2 linked regions of the Alligator mississippiensis genome follow. Each later gene encodes a partner of the first gene's protein in a complex. Links are inferred from orthologs where the notes say so. Each region holds a gene or a part of one and is shown in the gene's direction. Other genes may lie near its edges.

Region 1 (7,634 bases):
GCCCACAGACACCACTGGTAGTGTCGGTGGTGGGGAGGCGGGGGATGGTGAGCAGCGACCGCCTGCCAGCACCACTGGCAGTGTCGGCAGCACTTTTCAGAGTGTGTATCGCCAATCTCAGGGGGTGCACATGCGCCCGCATGCACCCCCTACGTGTCACCAATGATTTAAGATCAAAATAGCCAAAGCATCATTCAGAGAAGTGACCTTTTCTTTCATTTCCAAATGTGCTGTAGTTTGACAAACACTGAAGAAACTCACTTTAGACGCATTGATTCTAGACAGTACTCCCCAGTGTCAAACTTAGGATTCCCAAACAAGCTCATAGATAATTTAGTCAAAAGATCGCTAGAGAAGCCTAACTATCTGAAGCTAATATTCTAGATGTAGCACACCCTGGAGTTAGGCTAGGACATGTAGCTGAAATAAAGTTAGGAACAAATCTACTGTCAGTGGATAGATGGCAGACATCCACTCTCATCTGCCTGAAACTGTCTGTAGCACGTTGACCTTGAGATATGTTTTACCTGAGAGAGGCATTAAGGATCCAAGGAAATATTCTGAGTCCTTTTCAGAAGGACACAGTCCACAAGTAGTAACAGGAAAACTGTGCTTCCTCCAGTAGATCCCTCTTACATGGAATTTCATAAGGATCAATTCTTTAAACAACCACTATGTCAACTGGTCTGATAAAGACTCAAGTGGTGGCAATAAACAGATAACAGCTCTACCAGTCCCTCACCACACGCTATTAAGCCACTACTACTGAGATGGCCCTGCAGAGAAATAACAGCTGGCTGAAGCTGAACCTGACAGGTGTGGGGTCAAACTGGGTTTGAAGAGTTTGCATGGTGAAATCGCCTTTGACTGAGGCACAATTGCTCAATTCAACATGTAGTTTGGGAATGCTTTTGGCTTCCTCACTAACACTAAAATTCTCACAAGTAACTTGCCTATCATTTTTGGCTTGATAAGTGGCTCTCACTAACCCTGGCAGACATTAACCTGGCCTCAGTTATTCAGACAGGGAGCCACACTAGCTTGCCACAGACAGAAGGCAGGGTAGATTGGCATCAGACTGAATCAGAGCTACACAAGTAAGCGACAGTTTGCTTCATCAGAAGCTAGGAAGCTGCTGCTTAGTAAGGCTTGCACATCTCCAATTTAGTCTGCAAGGTGCTGTGCGGGCTGGGTCAAGCCCCGGGCCCTTTTTGTCGCTCTGCACGCGGGCTGTGGCCGGCAGCCTGGGCAGGCCGGGTCAGAGAAGGAGGTCGCCGAGCTAGAATTAGGCACAGACGCGTAACGGTTGATTTTAAGATTGTTTACTTACACCGAGATGGTCGCGGTGCAGGCTGAGAACTTGCTTGAGTTACAGTTGCGGATAGAAAAGAAGAGAGGCGGACTAGAGTTCCTCCGGGAACACTCTTCTAGCCCATCCGGTTGGAGGCTCTAAACCGCGAGCCTGTCAGACCAACCGGAGAAAGTCCGTCCGGTAAAGAGCTCTGAATAGACTCACTCACACGAAGTTTGCTAGGCTCCGTGGATCCGTCTCTTTGGCGTGCAGGGAAGGATACGTCTAGGATCGTACGGCGACGGGGAGAGGCTAGAGGCTGATCAGACCTCTGTTGCCTGCTTAAAATGCTTTGGGTCCGTGAGGATCCGCAGCGCTTAGAGATCTTCACACAGCGTGAAGTCTCCTTCTCCTGGTGTTCGTGGAGTCCTCCAACTAGGGCGGAAACCACACAAGCCTTTTATACGGCTAGCAGGCCAATCGCTAGCTGTCACATGTGAATAATTTAACGTAAACCAATAATGGGGCTCGAATTAGAATACAAATGGCAGGAACTCTTTGCAACGTGCATCACCGTGCTGCAACTTAGAAATGCACACTGCAAAGAAAGCTACGAATTGGCGGGAACTTCTTTTGCACCCGGGGTTCTCTGTTGCAGCAGAAAACTCCACCGTGCAAAGAAGCTGCAATTTGGAGGGAACAATTTAGCGGGGAGCAATTTAGCTGTGCCGAAGCACACAAAACAAAAACTCACAACTTGGGTTGTGACAGGTGCAACTCTAACTTCCTTCTGCCTTGGTCACTCATGCCTTTATTGCCTCTTAACAGGTCTGCAGCAACACTGTCCCCAGAGGCGAGATGTCCTCAGGAGTGTGTTGGTGTCAGACCCACATCACCAGACCCAGAGGCTCAGACCCACACTCATTCTAGTGCACCTTAGCCTGGGTGTGGGCTACTGAAATGCAGGGGGAAGACTGAGCTTGACAACTTTGCCCACTCCAGGCACCAGGGCCTCTCCCCACTGCAGCTCTCACTGCCCCCCACCTCCTTTGCCTTCCAGGCCCTAACCCCCAGCAGAAGCACCAGCGCCTCTAATCAGTGTCACCCTCAGAAGATCCCCTGCCTCCCCCCTAAGCAAACCCCTGCTCTCTGCTGCAAGACGGGAAAACCAGGGTGGATTTGATTCAAATCAAATTAAATCATGATTTAAATCACTGGTAAGGGAGCCTCGATTTAATAATTGGTTTCTAAAAAAAGTGCATTCTTGTAGTTTGATATCCTTTATTAACTTCTTGAAACTTTGCACTAAGAGGTAAGGGCTTGACTGTGTGTACACAAACTTGCAGAGAGACAACAGGGCTGATGAGTGGGTAATCAGGTCTGTTCGCTCTCACCTCCATACACTGCTGTTCACAAGGATGTTATCTCTAGAGACAACATGCTCCCCCTGTGCTTGAAGAAGGGCGTTTGTGCCCAAAAGTTTGCAAAGAACAATTTTTTCAACTATTTAGTTGGTCTAATAAAAGCTATTGTATCTACCCAAAGAACCTTGTCTGTCTATGTGCTCTAGAGACACAAATCCAGTTTCATAGTTTCTAGGGGCAGAACAGACCTGAACAGATCATCAAGTTCGACCCCCTGCCCTGGGCAGGAATGAGTGCTGGGATCATAATACCCCAGCCAGATATCTATCCAACCTCCTCTTGAAGACCCCCAAGGTAGGGGAGCGCACCACTTCCCTTGGGAGCCCATTCTAGAGCCTGGCAGCCCTAACCATAATGTATGGCTTAAGTAATGCCTCCTGGTATCAAGCCTGAACTTGCTTTCAATCAATTTGTGGCTGTTATCCCTTGTTATTCCAGGTGATGCCCACGGGAACACAGCCTCATCTATTTTCTGCTGGTCCTCCCTGGCAAATTTATAGACAGCCACCAGATCCCCTCTTAGTCTTCTCTTGTGGAGGCTGAATAGATTCAGGCCCTTTAGTCTATCTTCATAGGGCCTGGCCTGCTGCACCTGGACCATACGAGTGGCCCTCCTCTGAACCCTCTCAAGGTTAGCCACATCCCTCTTCAAGTGCAGTGCCCAGAACTGGATGCAATACTCCAACTATGGCCTAACCAGCACTGCATAGAGGGGAAGGATCACTTCCCTGGACCTGCTTGTGATGCATCTGTAGATGCACAAGGTGTAGTTACCTTATTGACCACTTCCTTGCATTGGCTGTTCATGTCCGTCCTGGAGTCAACAATGACTCCAAGATCCCTTTCGGCTACTGTGTTAATAAGAAGGGTGTTCCCTAGCCTATAGGTATGCTGCAGGTTCCTTCTCCATAGATGCAGCACCCTGCACTTGTCTGCATTGAATTCCATCCTATTCTCATCTGCCCACCTCCGTAACTTGTCTAGATCTAGATGAATTCTGTCCCTCCCCTCCAGTGTGCCCACTTCTCCCCCACATCTTTGTGTCATCAGTGAATTTGGACAGCGTGCTTTCCACGTCCACCTCTAAGTCACTGATAAAGATGTTGAATAGCACAGGCCCAAGGACCGAGCCCTGGGGAACTCCACTGCCCACATCCCTCCAGGTTGAAAATGACCTGTCCACCACCACTCCCTGGGTACGACCATTGAGCCAATTTGCCACCCATCTGACTGTGTAGGCATCAATGCCACAGTTGCCTAGATTTTTTATGAGCATGGGGTGAGAAACAGTGTCAAAGGCCTTCTTGAAGTCCAGGTAGACGACATCCACCTCAACACCTGCATCCAAGGACTTTGTGACCTGGTCATAAAAGGAAACAAGGTTAGTCAGGCAGGATCTGGGCCCCTAATATATAGCCCATGGCCTGCTGTGACCTATTAATAAAACATCTAAAAAGGTTTAATGAATATATTGTCTCAAATAGTATATGACTATAAGTTATAATCCCAATTCCATGATACCTTTGAGCTTTAACATAAATTAAAACTCTATATGGTTTTTTTAAAAAAGCATCTTAACCAAAAAAAGATTAAATTAAAAAAAAATCTGTTTGAAATTAAAAAAAAAAATATATTTTTTTTAATCGTTTTTTTATCCACCTTGGGGAGGCACGTGGGCCAGAGCACGGTGGCCTGTTTACTACGCCTCTGCGCATGCGCTGGACAGCTACCCCCCCCTCCCCCTCTCTATTCCCACCCTTTCCACGAGGAGAAGCCCCGCCCCCCTCCGCGGCTGGGGCTAAGCGGGCAGCAGCCCCGCCCGCTCATGCGCAGTGGCGCCGTAAACAGGCGAGCGGCTCCTCCCCCAGCACGGCGCCTGCGCGGACGCCCCCGGGCAGGGCGAGTGAGCGGCGGCGCCTGCGCAGTGGGGCTACATCCGGGCACTGGGGCAGGATGAATGCTCCTTTCCAAGATGGCGGCGGAGGGAGGAGGGAAGGAGATGAACGAGATTAAGACCCAGTTCACCACCCGGGAGGGGGTGTACAAGTTGCTGAGCCACTCGGAGTACAGCCGGCCCAACCGCGTGCCCTTCAACTCGCAGGGCTCCAACCCGGTCCGCGTCTCCTTCGTCAACGTCAACGACCAGAGCGGCAACGGCGACCGGCTCTGCTTCAATGTGGGCCGGGAGCTCTACTTCTACATCTACAAGGGGGTCCGCAAGGTACCGCGGGGCCGGGGCTGCTGCGGGGTGGGGGCCTGCGCCCGCAGCTGTGCCCCGGGGGAGGGAGCCCAGGCCCGGGGGACGCGCTGCGTCAGGCGGGGCTGCGCCCGCGCGGCGGGGCCTTTGCCGCCAGGTGCCCCCGGCGCTGGCCCGTGTCGCTGCGCGGGGCCTGGCCGGCCTCGGCCGTCCCCTGATCGCAGTCTCTTGTTGGTGCCCCGTGAGTGCTCGAGGCCCCGGTCTGGCTTCTTTCCCTGGGCCAGGAGACAACTGCGCTGCTGGACGTGGGCAGAGGCAGCGATGTCGGCATAGGGAGAGAGGGGTGTGTAATCTCTACCGCCTTTGGGACCCTCGCCCCCCCCCCCCCCCCCCCCCCCCCCGGGCCCCTGTGCTCGGTCGGGGTGGGAAGCCGAGGCACGAGGAGAGCCAGCGACTTGCCCAAGGTCATGAGGGGAGGCTTGTGGAAATGCTGCCTGGGTCTCCGGGGTCCCTGGGGAGTGCCCCAACCGCTCCTTGCTAAGCACAGCCAGGAGCTGAGGTTCGGTTGTCAGTGACTGAGGGCCCACTGGATCCCATCCATTACTAGTTTCTGTGAAATGGGTACATGCGCTTGTTCGCCTTCATGCCTGCTGGGTCAGTCCGGCTTGTTTGGGCGGCTCTCAGCCACATTTGTGAATTTCAAGACTTAATTATCAACTGGTCTTTTTTTAAGTTCCTGAAAAGTATCTGGTGTTTGAACAGAAATATTTCTCACTCATGCGAAACAGTTGCTAGCTTTACTACTTTCCTTTCTATAGGGAGGATGCAGTGTCCACAGATCACTGGCAGCAGCCTCCTCTCTTTATTCTGCCACCCATATAATCTAGACTTCTGTGTCTGTTGTGTGTAGGGAATAGCTGCAGATTTCTGCAACTGTTTTACTTGGAGCAGGCTTTCATGTAGCCCAATTACAGTACATGTGACCCTTGCCAATCTCCTTTTTTAATTGATCTTTCTTAAAAGTAAAGAAAAATCCAATGGGTGAGAGTGTCTCTAGACCAGGAAACTTCTACGTGCCAGCTTTAAAGTTTATACACTTTATTTGCTGTTTTTAAATAGTTTTTCAGTATCTCTTCAGTAAAATGGTATTTACGTTTGTGGGTGGGTAAAATGTTGAAGGCAGAGTAGATTTGCATCCTTAACTAAATAAGACATGCATAGTATGAACTTTTGTGAGCCTGAGCTCACTTCATTACATGCTGTTGAAAATGCTCCTATATCTGCCCATTGGGTGTCTAACTTAGGGGTTTTGATGCATAAGAATAAACATTATACTAGATGCCTGTTTTCCTCTGAACAACATTGTAAAACATACAAGAGAGTTGTAATGAAATTTGTATTTAAGAGCTTGTCAGCAATTTTACCAATTTGATAAAGGCTATAAAAGAGATGATAGTTTTATTTATGTAACTTGAGGGTTAAAGTTTTTTTTTTCTTTTTTAAAAATAATTTTCTTCAATAGACTTGGTTACTTTCCTAATCCATTTAGAATAAATCGGTTCAAAAACTTTAAGTTAATTATAACACATGCAAATTTGTCGTCTTGTTGAAACTACAAAATAAATTGTTATTTTTACATCTTTCTTATTGCCAACTAGAGTTAAAAGTCTCTTGTTTTGACTGAAGTCAGTGTGAATTATTCCACTGACCTCTACTAGGGGCACGGGCTTTCCACCAGGTTTAGATAACTGTTTCTGTAGCAGAGCTTTTTTGCAGGTTACTGATTCTTCTTTAATATATATAATACTTGATTCAGCTATGGAAGAGTTGCAAAGTAAATTATTAAACTCTTGCAACTGCTTTCTGAGTAGTGGCTCCAATGAGCATTACTGATATAAAGAAACCTTTAGATATGCAAAACTTTCTCTTAGCAGTCTGCTGGAGTTCTTTGAGTATGGCAACAAGCATGTGTGGATAAGGAGGATACAGTTGTTACAGTATACTTGGATTTGCAAAAAGCCGCTGACAGTCTCTTGCAAAAAGCTGAAAGAAAGTAGGCTGTCCTGGAATCAGAAGGGGAAGAAGGCCCTTTCACGTACTGAAAACTGGTTAAAGGGTAGGAGTTGAAGTGTAGGATTAGATGGTGACTTTTCAGAATGGAGGAAGGTAAACGGTGAGGTCCTTCAGAGAGCTATGCTGGGACCTGTGCTGTTCTGCACATTCAGAAATGATCTGGAAAAGGGAGGTAGTTAAGTGGCAAAGTTTGTAGGTGATACAATTTTGTTCTTGATAATCAAAACTAAGGCTAATGGAGTTGCAGGAAAATCTCTTAAAACTGAGGGTAATAAAGAGGCATATCAGCATTGAAATGATCCCTGCCAAAGGGGGAAAAATAACCCAGGCTATACATCCCCAGTGATGGCCTCTGTATTAGTTATTACTACTCAAGAAAGATTTTGATGTCCCTGTGGAAATTTCTCTAAAAACATGAGCTCACAGTGCACTGGTAGTCAAAAAGGCAAATTAAAAATATTAAGTATCATTAGGAATTTATATGAAGAAATGGAAAATGTTCTTACATAAAATGTAGTACAGTCACATTTTGACTTCTTGCAGTTCTGGTCACTCCATCTCAAAAGAATATACCTGACTTAGAAAAGGTTCAGAGAAGGGCAACAAAGATGATTGGGGTATAAAACTGCTTTTGTGCTATGAGAGATTG
Region 2 (6,895 bases), about 230 Mb from region 1:
AAGCTGAGGGTCTCCAGACCCTCCCACCGAGGTTCAGCCAGGGCCCTGGGTGGTCATCGTCGAGAGGCAACGCAGAGACCAGGGAAGACACCAGTAGGGGGATAGCCGCAAAAAGACTCAGAGGCCCGTCTCTAAGGGTGGCACATTGGGTGTAGGGGAGGTTGGAGCCCCGTGAACGCCCGCCAAGATGCGTGAGGACTCGAGGCACCCTCAAAGGGGACCCCCCCCCACACTAAAGAACCACTCAGAGTCGTGGCAGGTGAGTTAGGAGGTCACCCTGAAGACAGCCGAGGTGCCCTCTGCGGTCTGCACGTAGGTCCCTGGCAAGCAAGATCAGCTGCTCGGGCAAAGGTGGCGCGGAAGCGTACAATAGAGCGGAGGCGGGCACAGATGCCAATCAAACCTTGTAAATTACCCAGTGCCAAACAAACTATTTTGGTATCCTTTCTTGATAAACTACAAACATTTCACAGCATTCTTTCAGGCTGTAGACTGTTGAATCAATCCATAATTCTGCTACTAAATATTTTTTTCTATGGCACTACTTGGCATTCTATAAAGTTGTTTCTACATTGTCTTATCCATTGTTGTATCTTTCCTTCCAGTCGTCTTTTCCCTAATCTCATCATCACTTTTATATGAAACTAGCCAATTGCCCATCAAGAATGACAAGGGGGAGGGGGCTGGGATGGAGTGCTGCCACCTAACACCCCATGCTGCCACTATTCTGCCTCTTCCAGGGAGCAGGATGGGGGAGCTGAGGCCAGTGCTGTTGGCCTCGGCTCCCCCACCGCCTGTCCAGTCCTTGGTGCCGCTTGCAGGGAGCGCTGCTGGCTTTGGTTCCCCCACCCTCTGTCCAGGCCTCAGCGCAGCTTTGGAATCATGGCAGTGCTCCCCCATGATTGGAGCACTCTGATTGCCTGTTTCCATAGTCAATCAGAGTGTGAATAAAGCGTTATGGACAGACAGACTTTGGCTTTTTTAATGTTAAAATGTTTAAGATTTAAAGAAGTATTTTTTCATGTTTCTTGATTTACTTGCAAATAAAGACCAGAGATTGTATTGAGATGAGACCAGATTTACTTGGTCTCATCTCAATACAATTACTTTGAACTGTTTCAGATTCATTTCTTTCTTATTCCTATTCCTGAAATGCACCGCTAACACAAACCATTTTGATTGGGAGAAACATGAACTATTTCGGTACCTCATGATTGATACATGTGGTATTTATTTTTAATGTTAAAAGCTAAATGAGGAGTTTTACAATGCTGCTAGTCACTTATATCAGTAGAAAAATCAAATAATAACTAAATGTTGTGTGCTGATTATTCCATGATAGCTATTTTTTCAAGACTTTTAAAGATTGTTTTTAAAGTCTTACCTTCTGTCTTGACTTGATGTTTGCAGTAATCAGTGTTGCATTTGCAATTATTGCATGCCTTCACATGTACACATTATGAACTAAAAAAGTGAGCTAAAATAATATTAGGGCCAGATTATTAGCCTGGATCGAATCCTCGTGATGCTCCACTAATTGAAAGAGGTCTTGAAAGTGGCAGTGGGGCACTGTCAATGTCGTAGGAATCCCTTTACAGTATAAAGCCAGCACTCAGGTCTTTGCCGTCTGTTCCTTACGAAAGGAAAGTGACATGTTTGAAGCAGGCTAGGGACAGCAAAAGGCATAGCACTCTAATGATCAGTGGCTGATAAAATGATACCTATGTGGCTCATCTGTATGATTTAGAGCTACTAGTTGGCTTCTCATGCACATTGGAGTCTATTCCAGGCCCTGACTGATCCAGCAGCCAAGTGGAGAGGTGTGTAATGTCACCTCTTGATTCCCACCAGCTTCCCCTTAGCTGGGTTAGGCATAGCTCTGGTGCAGCTGAGAATCTAGGTCTAATGAAATTCAATTCACAGGATTGAATTCATCCGTGTGTAATTCCATGAAGTCAATGGAGGATGAAAGACAAATTTGCTTCTGTGTTTATTTGAGTTTTATATAAAGTAAATTTTGTACTTATTGGGGGACCTGGCTTAATAGCTCTGGTAAACATACAGGTGGAACTTAACATCTGGTTCCCCCACTCCCCCACCATGGCATTAACATGTGTTTACTCTGATTAGTAACGATGAATTCAGGCTACTAGGGATAAGACAGTAGTTCGTCTCCACAGTATCTCAGTCCTTGGCCTCTCCACTGAAACTGTCAGCAGACCAAATTAGTGTCGATTTGGATGGTGACTTTTGTAATATTGGCATTCGTTCACTATGAAGTGGCCTGTGGCCAGCAACATATATTACTAAAACCAAATAACAGCATTCTGCTGGTAACATTTCATTTTCAGTCCTCTTGATCTTTTATTAATGATCGCAGACCTGACCTTATTCTGGAAAAAAACAGGTTCCATTGATTTTAGGGTGTTTTGCCTACCTAAATGCTGTGGGTTCAGGCCCCAGCACAGTGAAGCTGCTATTGTCTAGAATCCTACTGTGGTCAAAAGTATACCCAAATTAGCTTTCAGGCTTTGAGGAGGGAGGAGGAGGAAATGAGGGAGAGGGAGATGAAGAGAAAAACATGTCTTTTGCCCCGTATAGTTATTCTTGCAGTGTTTAATTCTCTGGGGGTAAAGTGGTTGCCTTAATGCAGAACTGGGTGTGTGCCAGCAAGGCAAGTGCCTAGTACTAGGGGTGTGTGAAACAGGCCAAATTCAAATCGATTCGGATTTGGCCTGAATCAGGGACAGCAATTCAATTAGTTGATTCGGATCACTGTCCCTGATTAGATTTAACCGAATCCTAAGATTTTATGCTAATTTGGATAATCAACGATTTGGTCATTTCGTATCAATAGAGTAGCAGAAAACCGAAATGTCCTTTATGATGGCCACCCTACCTGAGCAACAGCTGGAGGTGGAAGGGAGGTGGTGGGAAGGCTAGACTGGGCACTGCTCCTCCTGCCAGGGCGGGGTGGGACAGGGGAAGTGCTGCTGTGAGGGCTCCTACTGCTCACATGTGTGTGTGTGGCACCCCATTGACCATGGTGTCCTGGGCCATCACCCACCATTTCTGGGGAGAAAGTGTGAGCGCATTGTGTCTCAACACAAGTCTTTGTCGTGCCGTACGGGAGCAGCATAGTCATGTTCCCAGTATGTTGTGGGCCTCAGTTCACTGATGGTTGGCAAGTGCTCTGATTAGGGTGGCCATTAAGGTATCTCAAGAAAAGAGGACACTTGCACTGAGGCCCACCACGAATGTCGTGTGCCTCCTGAAGCTGGGGGGCACCCTGAGCCCCTGCAAGCAGCCGTGGCGGGGCGTGGTGGCATTGAGTGGCAAGCTCCTGCAGGGCACTACGGGGGGCAGGGGGTGCCAACTGGTGAAAAATAGAGGATATAAAGGCATCCAGTTTCATATCAATAGAGGACGGAGGACCAGAAAACCGGACCACTTCTATGAAACGGGACAAATGGCCGCCCTAGCTCTGACCCCGGGGCAGGAGGTGCTATGGCAGCGCCAACGCCCAGTCCTTATTTCTTCGGCCCCACGTGCGGAGGCACAGTCCCCAGGGACCTTCAGGTGTGTCTGGGAAGCAGGGGACAGCGCAGCGCAGGGCAGTCCGTGGTGGGGTCTGGAAAGCTCCCGACACCTCACGCTGTTTCATACACAACAAAACCCTGCGGCTTCATTAGGCCGCCGCCGGGACCCCGCCCCGCCCCCACCCCCGCAGGAGCCGCGAAGGCGATTAGCTGCGGCCAGGCCAAGAGCCCGCCCCGCCCCGCCCCGCCGCCCGCAAGGCTCGGGGGCGGCACCTGCCCGTCCTCCCCGCCTCGCCATTGGCTGCCGCACGAGCAGCCCGGGCGGCGGGTTGGCAGGCGCGGATGCCAGTCGCGCCGCGCTGCCCGGAGCTGTCAGCGCTGCCGCGGGCTCTGCGCTAAGCTGCGCCGTGCCGCGATGGAGCGAGGGAACCGGGCCGCCGGGCGGGGGCGGGGGCGGGGGCTGCTGCGGCCGGCCGTGCAGTGCTGCTGAATCGGCTGCTCCGAGGAGCCGCCGCGGGGAGGGCAGAGGCAGGCCGGCAGCCCATGCTCCGCCGCCCGCCGCCGCCTGCCCGGGGGCTCTGGTGCTGCTCCTGCTGCCCCCAGCCATGAGCCCTTCTGTTTTCCCCTGGTAAAGATGGCGGTGGGCGATCGCTGCAACCTTTAGACTCATGACTGTCAGAAACATCGCCTCCATCTGTAATATGGTGAGTACCCGCACGGCCGGGCCGGGAGGGGGCGGGCGGCCGAAGGGTTCCAACTCCGCCCCCAATGCCCCGGGGGAGGGGGCTGCCTCTCGCTGCCCCCTGCCCCTGGCGCCAGGACCTCCAAGAAAGAGGCCCGAGTCAGGATCCTAAATCCCTGGGTAGGCTCCTAGAGTAGGCAGCTTCATTTCCCAAACAGCCGCCCCCCCGCGCTGCAGTCACCCACACTCAATTGTTTCACCAAATCCAGGTGCTTCTTTAAGCACCTCATTATGGACTTGGGCACCAGCTTTAAAATCTTAGCTGCGGGTCCAGGTCCGCCTGCTTAGTCTACCCCCTGTAAGGCATTTCCAAACCCCCACCCAGCTGGGATTTCAGTGGATGCAAATGGGCATTGCTTTCAGCCCCATATGATCCTTGTAGTGCATTTTGAAACACGTCACCTTTCCCATGGTCTTCTAAAAGATCCCAAAAGTGCATTTAAACAGGAACATTTTGTCTCTGTTTTGTTGGGTCCTTGCCCCCCGCAGCCCCACTGCTCGAGGACAGGGAGGGTTGTGCAGTGTACATTCAAGTATACTTTTCATTTTGACACTGTGACTGTCAAGGCTGGTTTATTAGGCCACGTTGCCTGTGGATTTTTAAGATGTTTGTTATCTGGGGGCTCTAAGACTTTCTGGCGAGCGATTTATTCAGTAATTCTAGAATGAAAGCAGTCAAACAAAATAAATCCATGTCAGGAGGAAGTGTTAAATGTCCAAAACAAATAGGGCAAGTGCACATTCCAGCACTTTGTTGTTTTAGTTTATGCTTTTCCCCCTTGTTTTCAGGTTCTTCAAGAGCAGTTACTTGCAGTCGCCAGCTTCCCTCCATGTGGTGCCCCAGCATACCCTTTGCTGGTGATGTCACACCTACCATTCATCAGCACTGGAGAATGGAGCCTACCTATAGGGTAAGGCAGTGGTTCTCAACCTCTGAGTTGTGACCTCCATGGGGGCCACCAGCAGTTGTTCAAGGGGGATGAGGGTTGTGAGCCTGCTCTCAGTCTGGGTCCAGTCTTCCACTGAAGTGGGTTTGCTTGCAACCAGTCATTCTTGGATGCCAGGAGCACCCCACCCACAGTTCTACCAGGTCCTCACTACCACCTTTGAAGCACCTGTGCTGAGGTGTATTACTGGAGGACTGGACTTGGATCATACTATGAAAAAGGTTGAGAATCCCTGGGGTAAGATAATCTGGGTTCTTACCTTTCCTCTCCAATATTATGTGATTTTTCTAAAGTTTTTATTGCACTTATTTTTTTTAACCACATGGGACAAGAGGCAAGCATATTGCAAAGAAATATTTAGGAAACCATGCGGTATTGGGGGAGAAAAACCTGGATTTACTTACCTTACCCTATAGGCAGCGTTCAGTTTATATTGTTGATGAATGGTGGATGTGATCACCATAAAAATGCATAACAAAGCATCACATGAAGGGAAGCTGGAGATTGATAGCTGGTTACAAAGATTTAACATTGGCATGCAGCCTTAAGAAACCTCTGTTTTCATAACACGTGCCCAGATTTTTCCATATAGACAAGCTTTTGCATAATATTTCTCCCTCGGGGTCTAGGAGGGCATCACACAAAACTGAACTAGGCCTGCATTAATTCAGGCTAGTGCTGCTCTTACTACTATCAATAGACATCTGCAAAAGTAGCATTTTAATATAATGGAGGAATTAAAGAGGGCAATGAAGCAGTCAAACAGAAAAGGGGGAACAAGAACAGAACAAGTGAGAACAACTCATACTTCAGGACTAAGTTTGGTTCCTTACTCTCTTCCTGGTGTCCTGGGTGACAAGAATGTGGAAGGAGCAGACTCAGCCTTTGAGGAAAGGATGCATTTGTATTCAGCATGGGTAACACAAAGTGTAAAAATACTACAATTCAGATATCTACATGTCATAAGCTTGATGCAAAAATAATGGTTTTTAAAAGGAAATGAATATTGGGATTGTTGTATTCTGCTTTTTGCATCTTTGGGTGATTCTAGTTCTGTTTACAAGCTTTGACCACTATAGCCACAGAGGTTAGAACCTCTTTTGGGAAAAAAAGAAAGCTGAGATTCTTGCAGCATTCCAGGAAGCGAAGAGAATTTAAGAAAGACATAAAATACTATAAGAGTTGGTGATGCTCTAGTTACTGGACCTCTGAAAATGAGCATAGCTGCTCGAAGGAGCTATATCAGTGGACCCTAGAGGAACCTAGGTCAACCCTAAATAAGATGACTTCTGTGATACATACTCTGTTGCAGGGGGAGCCAAGAGATCTAAAAGACTCCCAAAAAGAAGAAAACAAAATAGTAAGGTGGAGAAAGAGTAATACAAATAAGGATGTCATTAGCAGAGGCACTACCAGTACAAAGGAGAAAGCATTAGTGCCATTGTTCAAGGGACTGGTAAGATCTCATCTAGAATAATTTGTACAATTCTGGTCACCCATGTTCAAGAAGGAGGAATTCAAACTGCAACAGGTGCAGAGAAGGGCTACTATGATGATCACTGGAATGGAGAACCTATTTAGTGAGAGGAAACTAAAAGATCTTCGCTTGCTTAGCCTTGTAAAACAAAGGCTGTGTGTGGATATAACTGTGTACTACACTCACTAGC

Evidence for each region.
Region 2: the proteins of WDR20 (region 1) and USP46 are in contact, whole or in part, in a crystal structure (PDB 6JLQ), measured with the Homo sapiens proteins. The link is inferred for Alligator mississippiensis from reciprocal best matches to the Homo sapiens genes WDR20 and USP46. Residues at the interface, in NP_653175.2 of Homo sapiens: Asn41, Ser42, Gly44, Arg151, Lys259, Tyr261, Phe262, Gly263, Glu282, Asp283, Asp284, Leu285, His301, Lys304, Ser305, Trp306, Gln374, Asp375, Thr376, Leu509, Arg516, Met517, His533, Glu534, Arg535; in NP_073743.2 of Homo sapiens: Asn205, Thr206, Ser207, Thr209, His210, Arg213, Arg273, Val275, Phe276, Pro277, Glu279, Leu280, Arg281, Phe283, Asp293, Met295, Gln338, Glu342, Tyr344, Thr347, Ser348.

Annotation. Positions count from the first base shown.
Region 1 is NC_081825.1:284,945,660-284,953,293, forward strand, and holds the start of WDR20 (WD repeat-containing protein 20), read left to right. Parts: upstream 1-4,628; 5' UTR 4,629-4,672; coding exon 4,673-4,936; intron 4,937-7,634. UniProt on the Homo sapiens protein: Regulator of deubiquitinating complexes. Activates deubiquitinating activity of complexes containing USP12. Anchors at the base of the ubiquitin-contacting loop of USP12 and remotely modulates the catalytic center of the enzyme.
Region 2 is NC_081825.1:58,528,125-58,535,019, reverse strand, and holds the start of USP46 (ubiquitin carboxyl-terminal hydrolase 46), read left to right. Parts: upstream 1-3,882; 5' UTR 3,883-4,207; coding exon of another isoform or gene 4,208-4,243; intron 4,244-5,070; 5' UTR 5,071-5,111; coding exon 5,112-5,192; intron 5,193-6,895. UniProt on the Homo sapiens protein: Deubiquitinating enzyme that plays a role in behavior, possibly by regulating GABA action. May act by mediating the deubiquitination of GAD1/GAD67.